Tribolium castaneum: one gene and its partners. The main gene of each other region encodes a partner of the protein of the gene in region 4 in a complex. Links are inferred from orthologs where the notes say so. Each region holds a gene or a part of one and is shown on either strand. Other genes may lie near its edges. The genes, in order: Polr1B, Polr2K, Tif-IA, Polr1H and Polr1F.

Region 1 (4,025 bases), on a different chromosome or scaffold from region 4:
GAAAGATTTTTCATTTCATCCGTTTCTGAAATGAAGGCGTTAATAGATAAAAATCTAACAGGTGACAGTGGCAATTTTTTAAGAGTATTCCGTATTACAGGAATCTCTTCTTGTTTTCCTTCTATTGAATTAGAAACTACTCCAATCTCTATTCCAATAGAAATTTTTGATAATGTAGAAATATTTTCCTGTTCATCTAGCATAAAATCCAAAAATATTTTTTCGGAGGTGCTCAGTATAATTTTTTTATTACCAGTTACATTTTTGCGTTTTGTTTTTTATTGTGATGTTTAAATTATTGTTAATTGTTTTAATCAGTATATGTTTATCAATTAATTTTACCAATCTAGCGGGTTGTTAATTATGCATATTCACAATTACTTTCAGATTTTTTTTTATTTATGAAGTCCATTAGGGGGCACTTGCCTTTTATTTAAATAATAGGATATTTTAATAATTTTTTTTCTCAGGCAAAGATTCACCTTTACATGAAAAATCATCAGACGTTCTACAATAGCATAATAGTGAATAAACTGCAGAATATTTTAGTATGTATCTTATGAAATATGCTTGAAGAAAACAATTTTTCAAATTTTTTAAGTGACACACAACCACACACAAATGATAAATAATTCCTTATTACAGACAGAAACAAGTAAAAGAAATAAGTAAAAGCATTTCGTTATTAACATAAATTTAAGGATTTGCTATTTCTATTAATACCACCCACAGTTTTTTGTTTTAGTTCTTTTTTGTATTTCAGCTTTTCAGTCTCTTAGGACCGGTTTATAGAAGCGTCATTAATTTAATTCGCACTTAATGCGTGATTAACTGATCACGTGACCAAACGGAGACAATTTGATTGATCTAATCGCGTTGTTAACTTTTAACAACGAATTAAAATTTGATGCAACTTTCTATAAACCGGCCCTTAGTGAATTGTTTTTTTTTACAATGTAATGTTTTAATTAATTAGTGCTTCCAGTTCTGCAGTCTATTTTTCAGTTTTCAGAATTTCAATCTCCCCATTTTTTATTTTTTTTGTGTTTTAGCCTTTTAGTTTGGTGTTTTAGTTTTCTGGTGGAAATACTGTAGTTGTATATTAAATTATTTTTTGAAGATTTATGCGCACTAGCAAATGCACAACATTATTTTATTCAAGACGCTTTGAAAAATAACTAACTTTATTCTCATTCTGAAATTTTAGTAAATAACAGAAAAAAAATAGAAGCAGTAGTCTCGTCCTTTGCTGAAGCTATTGAACGCGTGAATAAAGTGTTCTTTTTTTTTAAACTACCTACTCCAAAAGTTGTGGAAAAAAAGTTAGTGACAAACTAAGACAAACTGAATACAAAATTCTAGATATAAAAATTTACTAAAAATAAAAATGTTAATTGAATGAAAAAATATTATCAATTTAGTACCAGTATCCATTTCCATACAATAAGTTTATTTGTTAGGTTGAATTTTTACAGAAAAACAAAAGCAAATGGTGCAACAGAGAACTTCAAGTTTTCGTTTTGTTTGTTTTTGTAATGGACCTTATTGCAATATTGCATAAAAATTACGTTTAATTTTTCCTGCTGTACGAATTAATAAAGAATATGTTCTAATTAGCAAATTTCAATACCAATTTTCTAAATTAAGTTTTTTTGTAACTCCTAAAAATCCAGTCTCTAGTAACAATTTATGCTTACTCCAAGTAGTAGGAATCGTGCTGGTACCCTTGTATCAACTTCTGGTAAATAAACTGGTCGCAATAATCGCACAAACATTTCAAAATCAGGACTAACGGCGTGTAGTACAAAACTTTCTTGTAACTGAACATTAATTTGGCGGTTCCATCCGTAACAAAATGTAAAACATTCGTCTAAAAATGTAAAATTATACCAAGTTTTTGGTAATTTTTTTAAAAAATTACAGTGGCCGTTTGGTCCTCCCTGACACACCTCATGGAAATACCACAGTCTGAAAAAATCGAGCCCCGCGCTTTCCAGCCCGAGCGTTTTATAGCAATTGGATAGTTCCGACGTGTCATTAGCAACATCCTTACTAGTCTCTCGTGGCCTTTGACCACAAAATAGCCCCCCCATTCCTGCTCATGCTCCCCGTGTTTGACCAACTCTGCGGGGGACATGGCGCTCAAGTGGCACTTATTCGACTACAATTAACCTCGCCAATTAAAAAAACACACACAAAAAAACAAAAAATACTTTAATCATGATGGGCAACTGGCCCATATCCTTATCAAACGCCGTCTGTCTCTCCCCATTAATCGCCCAATTAACCCTGGCAATAAACCGCCCTTTGTAGGTCGCGGCCCTTTGCCTACACTCCGATGGAAATACTTTAGGGCTTTTGACCCCAACTGTGCCCATCGGCACCAAGGGGCAACTGAGACTAGCATCGGTTATTTCAAGTGTGATTTTATCCCCATTTACCATAAACTCAACCGGATTCAAATCAGAAATCGCCTGGTCTAGCCCCTGATTTATCATGTAATTGAAGCTAGACACGTGTGGGTGCCCCAATTGTTGCAAAAGCTACAAATTTGAATTTTTTCATTTGAAAAAAAAAACATAACCTCAAAAAAACACGTGTTAGTTTTAAGACACTTACCACGTTCTGTGACTCGGGGGGGCGCCCGAAATTGGGATCCGTGATATTGGAAAGGCTCGGCTCGTCCAACATTATTAAAACACTCACTTAAACTTAAAAATAAATAATAAAACGTGAAAATTGAACCCGACAATTGTCACTTCCCGGTGGCGTATGCAACCAGCAATACAACCCACCACGATTATTGCATATGGACAACCACCAATTTTAATAATTTCATTATTAAAAAAACATAATTGCCTTGTTGCCTTTAATAGGTAAAGGGGATAAAATGGTTAATTGAAATCGTATTGTCACGATTGACAATTTTATTGTCAGTCATAGAATAAGAGAGAGGAAGAAGCGAATCTCTCTGTCTACCCCTCGTTTTTTCGCGAAAGCGCCACCTAACCCTGAGAGAACGAACTAATTCGATAATAGCGGGAAATTCAAACAGGACATTTTATTTATTTTCCAAATTAAAAGAATAATAAATGTTAAATGTTTCTGTACTCATGCACTGTTACGAGACATTTTAATAAAAAAGCATCTGTAACAGTTGCAATAGCACAAAAACATTTAACATCGCTTAATAAAATGAAACAGTCTTTCCAATAAAAATTTATTAAAAAAATAATAACGTGCTGGAATGTATAGGCATACTCAGATGTAATAATATATGTAAATACAGTGTCTAAATATACACAATGATCCAGAGAAACTGAGTATGTTGGCATCAGATTAAATTATTGAATTAATACCTGAAAGTATACACTATTGGTATCCTTTAAAATTTAAATTCAGATTGCTAACAGACACAGTATTTCGGGATCAGTCTGTATACATACATCAGTTTTGTTGGTTTGATTACTTGTCTGCAGACTGTTCAGAAAAGCAAAAAAATATCAAAATTTTGCTTGTAACCTTTGACAATAGTCCAATTTTTAAGTCCCTTAAGGCTAAATTTAAACAACTATTTTTCGAAATTTATTCGCGGTTATAAGGTTTACGGACGTTTGTAAAAGCGGCCCTAACACGTACTTTAACAGTTTGATGTCAAAGTTCTTGATAAATTTTGAAATTTTTTAAAAGTAATCTCGACTGCATCATAGTTATTAGTAAATTACTCAAACACAAGGGAATTACAAGTGTGCTAAAATTATTTTAAATAAAAAGCCACATATCTGATATACATAACTATAACTGGAAGTTAACTGATTAAAACTACCATGTAATCATTTAAATTTATAATAATAGTAGGCTTTAATATTGATTAACTTGTATGATACTTGTAGAATACGTTTTTTCGCTTAGTTTCTAAATTAAGCAATCACAAAAAGGACAAACCTTGTTTTTTTAACAGGCATAGGCGTTATAACATTGTGTAAAACAACATAAAAGATTAAGACATAGAGGGACATGGCGAA
Region 2 (2,346 bases), on a different chromosome or scaffold from region 4:
ACATTTTGGGGAAAATCAAAAAAACACTTCAAAAATCAAAATTACCTCAGTGCGCTGGCGGGAAACCGGCACGCAACGGTAAACCTCGCCGGCGCCCTTTCAGCACGTGGTGCAATAACACAACGCAGTTATCGCAGCCCTAGACGGCCATCATTGGCCCCCACGTCCTGCACCACCTTCACTCCTCCGACAATTGTCAGTCCAAAAATCGGCGAATTTTTTACTCTCGGCGTTTTCAACGGCGAAGCCACACGTCGCGACCGGCGCGCTCAGACACCGGCGTAGAACCTGCGTGTATTTAGTTTTATTGATCGCACATGGACGACCTTGAATTTGGTTAAAGAGGAGGTTGCGTTGCAGAAAGTGGTCCTGCACTGCCCTTGCGCGAGACCTTGAAATTTTCGCTACAACTGGGCCCTGGGAAATCGATGCATTGCCCCAGGTGGTGCCCAAGGTGCTTGAATTGTCGGACGTAGGAAAGGGGAAAGACAGGTTTGCAAATAATAACCCCAATGTAAAAAACACTCTATTCCAACCTTAATTAATTACAATTTTTTCACCGGGCGTCAAACACGGCCACTGGATCAAAGTTAAGGAAAAATTAACTGAAAATTTGCAAGTGTTAGTAATTGATAATAAAAGGATACATCGTTTGGTTCTCTTCTTGTACATAATACGGTACCCACATTCCCGGCACCTGATTGGATCCCGCGGCCTTATTTCGTTCTCATTGTGGCATTCTAAATAATTTTCGAAAATTTTCAAATCAAAACATAACCTCACTTTCACGTACCTCCGCAAATGTAAACCATGGGAGTTTTCGTGGCCCCTGAGTCTTTGGTCGAAGGTTCCGACATCCTAATCACTTAAATTAGCACAATTTTTAATACAAACGAGCGGGAACGTAGTTTTCTCCTCTAATAAATTTTGTATAAAAACAACGCCACCATGCCGACTTAGGGAATTTCATCTTTTTTTTGTTATTCCAACGGTTGGCAACGCCAACGTATACAAGCGCGAAATTCAAAAAGGTGCAGGAATTTTTGATAGTTTATTAAAATTTTATTGAAATATAATACGTCCATTCCACATACCCAGCTCGAATCGTACTTTGTAACACTTGACCCGTCTTCAAATATCGATATTGTCATCACAATATGGCCAAAATTTGTTTACAATATCTCATTTAATAAAATAAACTACACAATAAAATAAATAAAACAAGCTAAAAAATACAAATTCACTATAAATGGCTACGGTTGCCTTTAATTAATAAAACTGCGATCCTCAATCGTCATATACATCCCTTCTTCCTCATATGTCGAATCATGTTTTGCCAAAATACGCAATAGAGGGCGCAGTTTCAACCACCATTGCTCTTTAGGCATACGCAAGCTAAAACAATTTAAAGTAATTATAAAAAACAGTTTAATAATTTATAAACGTACTCAAAGTTGGTTTGTTCTTTCAACTCAGCGACTGGTGTAAACTTGTATTGTCTTTTAACGATTCCTAACAGAACGACGCTGTCTTGACTAGAACAACTGACTGAGCCGTCTGAACTCATATTGCTTTTTAATTGGTTGATCATCCATTCGACCGCTTTGGACGCCATTTTGGTACCAACATTGCGGTCAAAAGGTGTGGGGGAACCCCCTTGTTGCATATGACCTTAACAATACACACACAAAAAAAGTATTAAATTTTTAAACAAACAAACGTCTATATAAATACCTAAAACGTTCATCCTGGCACTAAACAAGCCTTTTCCTTCCTCACAATACAATCTGTAGATAAAGTCGGTATTGTAGTTATCTGACGCTTTTTCGTTACGTAAAATTAAACCACGTTGTACACCTTCGGACATTTTCGTAGCCATGTGGTAGACATCTTGTTGCAAGTCTTTAATTGTGAATTTTTCCTCGTAAATGTACGCAGCATCCGCACCCCCAGCGAGACCTAACATGTGAAAATAAGTTGGCGATGCTGAATAATGAATGTGTTGGCAACATTGACTGTCAAACTTAAACATTAATATTTACCTTTTTTATATCATTAATAGATATTTAATTACCCCATGCATCAAATATACAAGGTGTATCAGAAATAAGATAATACAAGTAATACGAACTCCTATATTTTATTTCTAAAATGGAGGATTTTGGAAGAAATAAATTACGTCAAAAACTAAGTAGTTCTGAAACAACCTGTATAGGGTCGAATATTTTACGTTTTGAGACACAAACTGTCTTCATTTCATACAATGTTGCCAACTTAATATCGATATTACCTGCAAGTGTGGCCAAATATCCGCAATACCCGCCCATGGTTTCAATAATAAAAACC
Region 3 (4,020 bases), on a different chromosome or scaffold from region 4:
TTCCTCGTACTTGACGAACCCACCAATCATTTAGATATCGAAACAATTGAAGCTTTAGGGAATGCGATAGTCAAATTCACCGTAAGTTAACGCTTTTACCACTTTTGGGTGATCACATTACCACCATACACTTTTTTATTTTTTTACCTCCCTTGTGCTTAATTTTTTCTAGGGCGGTGTGATACTTGTGTCGCACGACGAGCGGCTTATTCGCAAAGTGTGCAAGGAGTTGTGGGTTTGTGGTAATGGCTCTGTGCGAAGTATAGAAGGTTTTGATGAGTACAGACGACTTGTCGAACAGGAACTCGAAAGTCAGTCTAAATAACGAGTTTACTTTTTAATAGAGAAATTTGTATAAATGTGCCTCCTTTGTGGAAAAACTATTTATGATTTTTTGTTATATTTATAATATATTCATGTTTATAACGGTATTAAAATATAGGTCATATTTTGAGAAACTTTATTTTCCTATCAAATTAATAAATAACATCTTGCATAAATCAGTATCACATTAGCCCTTAAATTTAAACCCTGGCGAAGTCCCGTATGAGAATTTCTGCGTTTTTGAGTTAAAGTCATTCTCGAGGAAATCGTCAACGTCCCCAATTTCCCTCATTTCTGAATCGTTTACCTCAAAACTCACCTCCTTGTAGTCCCGATAAAACGGGTGCACTTTCGCACTCGACCTGCAATTAAAACAGTCAGGGGAATCCCCCAAAAAACGGTGCAACGAACCTTGATAAAACAAAAGGATCAAACGGGTAACACGCCTCTAGGACGTTACTTGAAACTGTCACAAAACCTTTCTCGTCTCTATAAACAGTCGGTAAAGTGTTCCTCGAATTGTGTTCAATGATTGAGTAACAATAGGCTAGTTGGTACTTTCGGGTAATAGCAGCGAAATTTTGCACGACTGCAGGTTGGCAAACCCGCAACGGGTTTAACCGACTGGTTACGATTTTCGCCAAGTTCAGACTCTCCAAAAATACGACATCTGTAATCAAAGTTGTGACAATGTTCGAGTAAAAAAATCATTACTTTTTTTTGTGTTGACTAAATCCTTGTGCCGGAACGAAATCACATAAAAGAGGGCTTGACACACTGTGTAGAAGACAGAGTGGAGCCTTAGGTCCGAATTGACGCACTCTAGGCCGTCCTGAGTGGCGATATACGAGTGGATCCATTCGGCCATTTGTTGCAAAGTCCCCTTCAACATGCTGCAATTTTCCATTAAACTGGGGCATAAAAAATTGAAAAAATCTTACGTAAGGGGGACGAAAGTGGCTCTCGCTATAAAACTGACAATATAATTAACCGCCGCTTGTCTAATCACCGACGCGACGTTCGGATTGCACACCTTCTTCCACAAGTAATTAAAAAACGCCTCCGTTAACGTCGTTTTAAAGGAACACAGCACAAACATAACAAACTGGACGTGATGAGTATTGTAAGTTGGCAGGATCGACTGATCAAAGACCGTCAAAATATCCTGGTATAAAGACTTGGTTTTGCCCCAATTCAAGTCATTAGTGCCCGGCTCATGGCACTCGGAGTAAATGTAATTGAACACTTTATCCAGGCAAACGTCCAAAGTGTGTGCCATTGAATGGACGCAGTCCAGATTTATCGTAGTGTTTGTTTTGCTCTCGTCCATCATGAAAATTTCCTCCTCTTCAAGTTTCGCGATTTCCTCGCGGGGCGCACTCACGTCCATGATGATCAGTTTTGAGAAAATTAAGTGGAGGATGTTGGGTCTGAGAGTGGGCTGGTAGCAGATGACCCAGAGGAGGTTCTGGATGTAGTATTCGTGGATGTGGGTCGATTTGTTCATGTAAGGGAAGTGGTCGATCAGGGCGTGGATTAGCAATTCGTTGCACCTGAAATGCCCATTAGCACAGATTTAATTTATAAACTATTTTATAGAGAAAATTGCTTATTACTCTAGATAATTACATCCGGAAAGTACCTGAGACTTGAAAAATTACTTACAAAGGGACTGTTCTTAGAAGTTCACAGAGGAGGGAGTGGACGTGTTGGCACTTCAGAATATCCGTTTTACTGGGGGTTCCATTTTCCCATTCAGGGTCTGTTAGAGCTAAATAATTCACTGGTAATTAACTGGTGATTAGTTACTTTACCAAACTTACGGGGAAAAAACAATGTGACTAATTTATTTATCACAAAATCTGCGTGATAGTTATGTGCAGCGACTAAGTTCGCAATAAATGACTGATACTCCTTAACTACATTTTCGTTTCTTTCGATCCAGTCAACTGAAAGGAGTGCTTCTACAAAAAGACGTAACTCCTGCTTCATTATTGAAATACACTCAGTCGCTTCCTTCAACAGTGAGGAAATATCGTCATCAAACAGTTCGGCATCGCGAATTAGGCACACTAAATTTTCATAATCCTTTGCATTTCCGTGTTTGATGTAGTCCTTCAATATGTGGCGCACTTTTTTAGAGTGTGGTAAAATAAATCGGACTTTAGTGGGTGTGTTCACTTTCAAGGAGCGGTTTAATGTCGATTTGAGACTTGGGGTTTTCTTCAGGATCGAGGAAGGGGTCGTTGACTTCGTGGGGGCCGAGAATAAAGACATAATGATCTGAAATTTGTTTGTTTTTTCTGAAAAAATGATAAATATGGCACTTACATAAATTAAAGCAACGGTTCAGTCACAGTCAATCAATAAAAACAGTATTTCACAATGTTATTTAAATCACATCTTTTACAGGTTAGGAGAAAAACGTGTGGTTTGACGTCTGCGTCTAGGGTTATTTGTTGTGGCTTTTCGAAGTTGCTTGGTTGGCAAGGCTACTATTTAAATTTTGAGCCGGGCTAATTTATTAAAATAAATTAAAAGTAAAATCAGTACAAGATGTTAATATCACCTATTCAAAAGCATTTCACGAACCTACTGAAATAAAAAACAGTGAAATTGGAACATTGTACCAGTAAATTCGTTGAAAATATTATAGATTTTAATGTAGAAACTTTTCTAAAAATAAATTATTGAAAACTAACCCTTTAATCCGGGTTGTTTTCTCTTTTCCCCTTAAAAATCCCTTTCAATAGCACACACTAACCGCGATCAGCACGCACTAGTCAACGAATTTGGAACTTTTAATCCGCAAAAATTCTTTCACAAAACAGTAAGTCATAAAGTGAGTAAAATTAAACGACACGGCAACAAGTACGACACCAACAAAAAATATAATCTGTGAGGTAACTTATTGTTACAAGATGGGAACAAGGAGGTTTGTCTAATGTATTGATTTTTGTCATTTAACGTTTTTTTTGATCTGAAAAACACAAGGAGGCACATTTTTAAGGTCCAACCCGACAACCACAGAAGTTCATCTCTTAAGCAAATAATTTCAGCCAAACATTTTAGTGAAATCTTCACAGGATTCACAATTAAAACAAATCCACTTTGTAAGAACAAACTTACTCTCGAAAACTAAAAGAATTCGATTATTTTTAACTCAGCATACTTAAGCAGGTATTAATTTTTTTTTGAATAAGATTCTTTACATGATATAGGGGCAGAGCCGGATCGAGGGCACTTGCCTCAGATGATCTTTGGGAAAGGGAAAAAAACAACAGAAATAATCACCTCTGATTTCTCTTTTCCAGCAGTTATGGAACAATGTAAAAAACCTTGATGGTTAGTACTTTCCTGTTTAAAAAAGTGCTGTTTAAATGTTAACAGCACGCGCTGTGTGTAACCAATATTGTCAAAAAGACTCTGAAGAACGAATTTATAAAGGAAAAATAATTGAATGGTAGTTTCAAATTAATATCATAATTTATTACGTCTACATTTTATAAATGAGTAAAAAAACTCTTTAACAACAACAAGGACGCTACTTAATACTAATGAGCGAGTATTATATGTCGTCATTTGTAATTAGAGTAGGAGAGTTTCCTCCGAATAGTTGGTAGACTCAAGTCTTAACCATTCTTTCAATATCAGTTTCAGTAGGTACTCTAATTGTAATGAATTCAAATGATCACT
Region 4 (2,554 bases):
ATTAGACCCCACAAACTTTATATCGACAAAAAGCTCTTAAAAATACCATGCAATGGTGCAATAATAAACAGGGTGTTGCATTTGAAAAAATCGAGTTATTGCAATATGTAGTTTGTCATATTCAGAAAATCGTAGTAGGCGCTAAAATATCGACATCGAGTTTGCTTTTATTGCAAAAGATGCGCTAAAGCTTAAGAAGTTGGCTAAGAAAAAAAATTGTTACATTATCTTAAATGGTTCTGAAGTTATACATTTTTTGAGGGTCTTTGCACGACACACTTTTCACACATAAATTGACATAAGTCAAAAACTATGACAGATAAGTCTATAAAACCCGGGTGCATTATATCGACAATTTAGTCACGTTTTCAAAAATATAATAAAAATTGGGGTTTCCAATTAAAAAAACAAAACCTAGTGGAGTATTTTATTACAACATTACAACATAAAAATATTGTAAGACCTATCGTTTAAAAAAACTTTAAATTGATAGTTTGCATAGAAAAAAAGTTATGGAGCATGCACGAACTCTTGGGTCACTCTGTATATGCACTACCTCGTGAGACACCCTGTATATTTTAGGTGCAAAATGCTTGGTTCAATACTTTAAATTGAAATTAGCTGTTATAAATTATTCACGCACTTCAAAAAAATAATAGCTAATCTAATTTATACTTTCAATGATAGTTCCAATCATAAATAACAATTTTACAATTTTATCAATACTATTTAAAAACAATATTCGGCAAAATGCGGCGTTGGTGTTTTTTAAGTTTTGAATGGTAAAAGCTCAGATCAAAGTAGTTAGCGTTGTTATGTTTACGCAATTGTTTATTCATTGTTTATTTGACAATTTATTACCAAACAATTACCACTTGTTACCAAACGTATATAGTTATTTTTTTTATATAAACAACTGTCAGTGTCAAAATTCTGATAAGGACAAGACTGTATCAGTACTTAATCTTAGAACATTTTATCGCGTTTTATATTGGGTTTAAATATTAAACAATTCCTACCTTGAAACGGGACAAATCCGCTTGTGTAAAATCATTCGGCAGATTAATGTAAAAGTATGGAGAAAAACCATGAATATGACAACACACACTATTGCCCACTTTTGTAATACCAAACATTCGAATCACAGGAACAGTACCAGTTTGAGCCCCTGGCATTCCAGGATAAGGGGCTGAAATGTAATGATCCAACTCTAATTCTTGAAAAATTAGTGCATCATCAGTGGGGTTTAAATCGCCAACTGGGGGGCGAAAAATTTTGTCGTTCCTTCAATTAACCAAATAGAAAACAATCATTTTTTGTCAAGAAATCTTACTTGAACCTCTTCCCTGATGAATTCGGAGGCGGAAGATTGCGTTTTGTTGCCATTTTGCTGTAAACAAACGGACTCCAAACAAGATATTTCAGTTTCTTCCCGCTTAAAATAATTATAGGTTATGTTGTCTTGAAATGCGTGAAGTGTGACCAATATGTAAATTGGAAAATTCCCAACAGTTGACACATGTGTTTTTTAGGTTAATTTTTCGAATTAAATCACTCAAAAAATTAAAAATGAGTACTGGCCCTAATTTTGAAAGTATCGAAGGGTTTTGTCCCGACTGTGGTTCCATTTTGCCACCTTTAAAACAAACAGGAGGTGTGAAATGTTATGCCTGTGAACGCAATTTTCCATCAGATGGTAAGTTAAATTTGTCTCAATGATAATTCTAAAGAATTGATAATACTTTTTTTGTAGTTTTTCGAGGAACTAAAGCTTCATATGTGATACACTTCAATTCGCGAGACTACAAAACTCATTCAATGAACAAGCAGAACAATAAAAAGGATGAAGAAGAAGATGATGGTCCTGTTGTTGATAGAAAATGTGCCAAATGTGGTCATGATAAAATGACTTATGCGACAGTTCAATTGAGATCAGCAGATGAGGGCCAAACTGTGTTTTATACTTGCACAAAATGTAAATTCAAAGAGAGTGAAAATTCGTAATTGGTCAATAAATACGCATTTTTGTTAATAACTAATTTATTCAATTTAAAAGCATTAATAATTAAAAAAAATGAACAAATAATCTATAGTCCTATGGAGGACTATAGATTAGGAAGCGAGACGGGGTGTAAAATAGTACGGTAGAATTAAAATTGGGCGCTTCGAGTGTTATTTGGCGCCTAATAATCGTTTTACATTAATTTTATTTCAACCAATTAATGGAAAAAATACATCCGTACCGTAATAGGTTGAAAAAAAGTGACGCCCAAAATTTTTACGAGAAACGTGAAAAACAATATTTGAAATCTGCCGCATTGTCTCATATTTTTCAAAACGCTGCAAATACAGTTGAAGATACAAAAAAATGACTAGTGACTGTTTTAGGCTCTACACCAACTTACAACATGAGTGAAAGTGAGACTTAATTGTTTGTGTTATGTTTTTACTTAATAAAAAAAGTCTACCTTTTATATTATTGCTTTGGATGTTACAAAGTTCTGTTTACTTGAATCACCCTGTATTTTTACGTTAAAGTTCGCTGCCAAAAGAT
Region 5 (3,554 bases), on a different chromosome or scaffold from region 4:
TGTTAAGGACAATGTGGTATTGTGCCCCATTTCGGGGAAACCCCTCAAAGTAAAAGACTTAATTGACGTCAAATTCACTCCAATCAAGGATTCAGGCGACAAAAAATCCTTAATTGCGAAAGAATGTCGTTACATGTGTGCTGTAACACACGATGTTTTAAGTAACTCAGTTCCCTGTGCTGTTCTCAAACCAACGTAAGTTAATAACTTATTAACAACACTAAATAAAAAAATGACCGTACTTTTAGGGGTGACGTTGTTACGCTAGAATGTGTGGAGAAAATTATAAAAAAAGATTGGATACATCCGCTCACTAGCAAAAAATTGACAGAAAAAGACATCATTGTAATGCAGAGGGTAAAACAGTAACACTTCAATTTGTAACAAAAGTAATGCGGTTTTTATTATAGGGGGGTACAGGCTATGCCCAAACTAATGTGGAACTGGAAGCCAAGCAAGAACGCCCAGCTCTTCAAGCCTGAATTATTTAAAAAAAATTGAGGCATTTACAAAGAAAAGAATTGTGTTTTATATTTTATTTCATGTATTTGTGGAACAATTTTATGAAGAATCCTCTTGTACATGTTTTTTCTTTTTCTTTTTGATTGGTGGTTCAATATCTTCGTCAACTTCCGCCTTACGTTTAGTTTTTTTCTTACTCTTCTTTAAACTTATCTCAGGTTCTGAAATTAGTTGTCAAGAAGTTGTAAGAATTTTTTTTAATAAAAAATTTACCTTCTTTTATTAATGTGTCAAAATTAAGACTCTCGTCATTGAACGACTCATCAAAAATAATTTTTTTCGCTTTCTTCTTACTACTTTTTGTCACTGTCTCATCAAGGTTTTCTTCAAAAACTATTTTATTGTTCGACTCGTTTAATACGTTTGGAGTCGCGTCCAAAACATTGCTACAATTAATTGAATTAAGTTTTGTCTACAGGGTGAGTCTGTTATAAAGTATATTTGTTACTACATCTCAAAAACTAGTCCCACAGAATTCAGCGTTTGCTAGTAAATACTTTATATTTTTTTCTGTGCTTGTGATTTTTTTCAGAATTTTTCTACAATTCCGTACAATTAAAATCAATAAATAAATTAACTAAGCACTACTAATTATCTACATTTTTTTTATTTCCTGTGTCACCTGAAAACAAGCGATGGTTAATTAAATGTTGCTGAAAAAACTGTAACTAACCCCCAAAAAAAATAATTAAGTAAAAATAAAAAATTCAATTATTCGTATAAGAAAGGGTAAACAAATTCTGAAAAAGAAACACATGTATAGAAAAAAATATAAAGTATTTAATAATTTAATAACGCTGACTTTTGGGCGACTATTACTTTTTAAAATATGGTGAGAAATACTTTTAGCAGACTCACTATGTAGTTGTATGATGAAAAATAAACTTACATAATTCTACCTTTAATGTAAGGCAATTTTCCCTCGAAATTTGTTGACGTGATTTCTAGTTGTATTCTACTGCCAGGGTTCAAATTTTCGCCCAACCACTCATGTTTCTTGGGCTTTGGCAAAGACACATTAAAAATTTTATGTACCAGACAACCAACATGATCTTTAGTCTTTTTGTGTACGACACCTTCCAGTATTTTACCTTCCACAGGCTTAAAAATGAAGAATTCGGCCTCAATATCGGCGTGAATGTAGCAAGAATCATCACAGATTTTTCCTGCTTTTGACAACAATTTTGTATTTTTGTAACCACACAGAATCCCATCTAATCTACAAATAAATTATTAAAACTATTGGCAAAACTTTCATTTTTACCCAAAACCTGGCACTAAACTTCCCTATCCTTGAATTGAGGATCTCCTTAACTGAATTATTTAAATCGTTCAAGTGGTAAGGGTGGAGGGCTATGTGTTCCTGGAGGGTAAGTAATTCCACACACGAATTCTTATCCTCAACTAACGAGTTTAATTCGTTTAAATTAAAAGTTTTTAATAATTTTTGTTTTTTCATTTTCGGGGGGCCCACGTGTGGGTATGATAACCTCACTTAATTTTTTTGGAAACCTAACAAATGTGTTATAGTGCAAAAAATGACAAAAATATTAAATGACTTACGTGAAATCACAAACCCACCATTTATTAATATTAATTAGGCCACAAATCCACGATAATATATCACCTCAAGTCACAAAAAATGTGAGGTTACGTAAAATAATTAACCGGTTTTTTACACTTTTATTAATGGTTCTTATCTACTATAGTACACTTATGTAATTATACATGGCAATTGTATTTACTCCATGACCTTTTTTTGAATGTGTTAAAAAATTCTTTTTTTGATTTTTGATTCTGGTGCGCGCTTTCGACCCAATGTGCATTTGATACTCTCTTCTTGTTTCGTGTATTTGGAACCCAGACACTTTTTTGTGTCCTAGTGTTAGTCCTTACGTTCAATTAAAAGAAAACTTGTAGGAATTTGGTGTGTTTTTATATTTTTCAAAAACTCAAAAAAAAAGACTCAAAAACCATAGGATTCTAAGCGCACAGTTTAGTGACTTTCAATTTTTCCAACTCTGTGTCAGTCGTACCAATTATTTCAGGTGTTGACATTTTACGTGTTGTCTCGTTTCAAAAGTGGTAAAGGGCTTGTACAAAGTTAAATACAGTTGATAAATGTTTTAAAACTGTGTGAAATGGATTAATAAACGTAATTATTACAAGGAAACCTCTAAACCGGTGAGTTGTAGATATTATACTGTGATATCAACTCGTTAATAAGTTGGTGGTTCAAGTGGGATATGTTGCTTATTTTTTGTTTTTTAACAGAGATTAACAAAATTATTGCAAGAAATGATGCCAGATTAGTGAGGGATTAATTTTAAAGTTTTTGTTCTAGAGACAAAAACATAAATTTGTGGAACTGGATTCAGTGTTAGTGTTATTGTTTACTGCATGTTGATAGATTTAGTTGATTTCATATTACTTTTTATCTTACTACATCTGTTGTGTTATTTTTGTATGGATTAGAACCACCCAGACTCCGGAATAGATAATAATAATGACTAGATAAGTTGATATCACACAAGTACTTATCTGTTATTTCTAGTGTTTGTGCTAGTGATTGCTAATTATTTCAAGTTTTCCTTATTTATTTTTGTGTTTTTCAAAAATATACAGCTTTTATTGCATCATCTTACAGATAAAAGAACTCGTGAGAAAAATGAGTTTTTTTGATCATATTTCATGTTTCTGGTAAAGTAGTAATAAAACCGATTAAAAAACTTTAGGGACATGTAAGAAGCTAGAAAGGCATCTTAATGTAGTAATAGTAGTATGCCATAAAAATTATTATTATGATGTCATACTTTTTTGTGACACTATGTATAAACAAAAATATTTTTTTGAAATCCTAGAGTATAAATTGTTAAATAATAACTGAGCCACCGAAGATGGAAGCTGGGCTGGACCACCTGTACAGGGTGCTACAGACTTTAAATTTTAAGAAGTTTGAAAAAAAATTGTAAACACTCTGTAGTAATTCAGATCAATCAAACTCAGTTAATAAGCCTGTTAGGCCTTATTTA

The links.
Region 1: Polr1H (region 4) and Polr1B share a complex: the UniProt entries of both Homo sapiens proteins name them as parts of the pol I pre-initiation complex. The link is inferred for Tribolium castaneum from reciprocal best matches to the Homo sapiens genes POLR1H and POLR1B.
Region 2: Polr1H (region 4) and Polr2K share a complex: the UniProt entries of both Homo sapiens proteins name them as parts of the pol I pre-initiation complex. The link is inferred for Tribolium castaneum from reciprocal best matches to the Homo sapiens genes POLR1H and POLR2K.
Region 3: Polr1H (region 4) and Tif-IA share a complex: the UniProt entries of both Homo sapiens proteins name them as parts of the pol I pre-initiation complex. The link is inferred for Tribolium castaneum from reciprocal best matches to the Homo sapiens genes POLR1H and RRN3.
Region 5: Polr1H (region 4) and Polr1F share a complex: the UniProt entries of both Homo sapiens proteins name them as parts of the RNA polymerase I (Pol I) complex. The link is inferred for Tribolium castaneum from reciprocal best matches to the Homo sapiens genes POLR1H and POLR1F.

Annotation. Positions count from the first base shown.
Region 1 is NC_087399.1:7,572,248-7,576,272, forward strand, and holds the start of Polr1B (DNA-directed RNA polymerase I subunit RPA2), read right to left. Parts: upstream 2,810-4,025; 5' UTR 2,692-2,809; coding exon 2,620-2,691; intron 2,544-2,619; coding exon 2,214-2,543; intron 2,162-2,213; coding exon 1,922-2,161; intron 1,871-1,921; coding exon 1,698-1,870; intron 1-1,697. UniProt on the Homo sapiens protein: Catalytic core component of RNA polymerase I (Pol I), a DNA-dependent RNA polymerase which synthesizes ribosomal RNA precursors using the four ribonucleoside triphosphates as substrates.
Region 2 is NC_087394.1:4,871,061-4,873,406, forward strand, and holds Polr2K (DNA-directed RNA polymerases I, II, and III subunit RPABC4), read right to left. Parts: upstream 986-2,346; 5' UTR 858-985; coding exon 794-857; intron 741-793; coding exon 648-740; intron 580-647; coding exon 557-579; 3' UTR 514-556; downstream 1-513. Other genes in the region: Pfk (ATP-dependent 6-phosphofructokinase), read right to left, coding at 1,266-1,395, 1,449-1,671, 1,735-1,959, 2,291-2,346. UniProt on the Homo sapiens protein: DNA-dependent RNA polymerase catalyzes the transcription of DNA into RNA using the four ribonucleoside triphosphates as substrates.
Region 3 is NC_087395.1:22,076,485-22,080,504, reverse strand, and holds Tif-IA (RNA polymerase I-specific transcription initiation factor RRN3), read right to left. Parts: upstream 2,815-4,020; 5' UTR 2,656-2,814; intron 2,608-2,655; 5' UTR 2,602-2,607; coding exon 2,148-2,601; intron 2,096-2,147; coding exon 1,990-2,095; intron 1,878-1,989; coding exon 1,266-1,877; intron 1,218-1,265; coding exon 1,039-1,217; intron 995-1,038; coding exon 736-994; intron 687-735; coding exon 512-686; 3' UTR 444-511; downstream 1-443. Other genes in the region: ATP-binding cassette sub-family F member 3, read left to right, coding at 1-81, 173-325. UniProt on the Homo sapiens protein: Required for efficient transcription initiation by RNA polymerase I (Pol I). Required for the formation of the competent pre-initiation complex (PIC).
Region 4 is NC_087397.1:21,420,264-21,422,817, forward strand, and holds Polr1H (DNA-directed RNA polymerase I subunit RPA12), read left to right. Parts: upstream 1-1,480; 5' UTR 1,481-1,569; coding exon 1,570-1,696; intron 1,697-1,753; coding exon 1,754-2,004; 3' UTR 2,005-2,035; downstream 2,036-2,554. Other genes in the region: PolD1 (DNA polymerase delta catalytic subunit), read right to left, coding at 1,020-1,284, 1,334-1,386. UniProt on the Homo sapiens protein: Core component of RNA polymerase I (Pol I), a DNA-dependent RNA polymerase which synthesizes ribosomal RNA precursors using the four ribonucleoside triphosphates as substrates. Can mediate Pol I proofreading of the nascent RNA transcript.
Region 5 is NC_087394.1:6,583,613-6,587,166, reverse strand, and holds Polr1F (DNA-directed RNA polymerase I subunit RPA43), read right to left. Parts: upstream 2,335-3,554; 5' UTR 2,086-2,334; intron 2,035-2,085; 5' UTR 1,982-2,034; coding exon 1,794-1,981; intron 1,742-1,793; coding exon 1,412-1,741; intron 909-1,411; coding exon 736-908; intron 684-735; coding exon 562-683; 3' UTR 522-561; downstream 1-521. Other genes in the region: nitric oxide synthase-interacting protein homolog, read left to right, coding at 8-195, 249-357, 411-482. UniProt on the Homo sapiens protein: Component of RNA polymerase I (Pol I), a DNA-dependent RNA polymerase which synthesizes ribosomal RNA precursors using the four ribonucleoside triphosphates as substrates.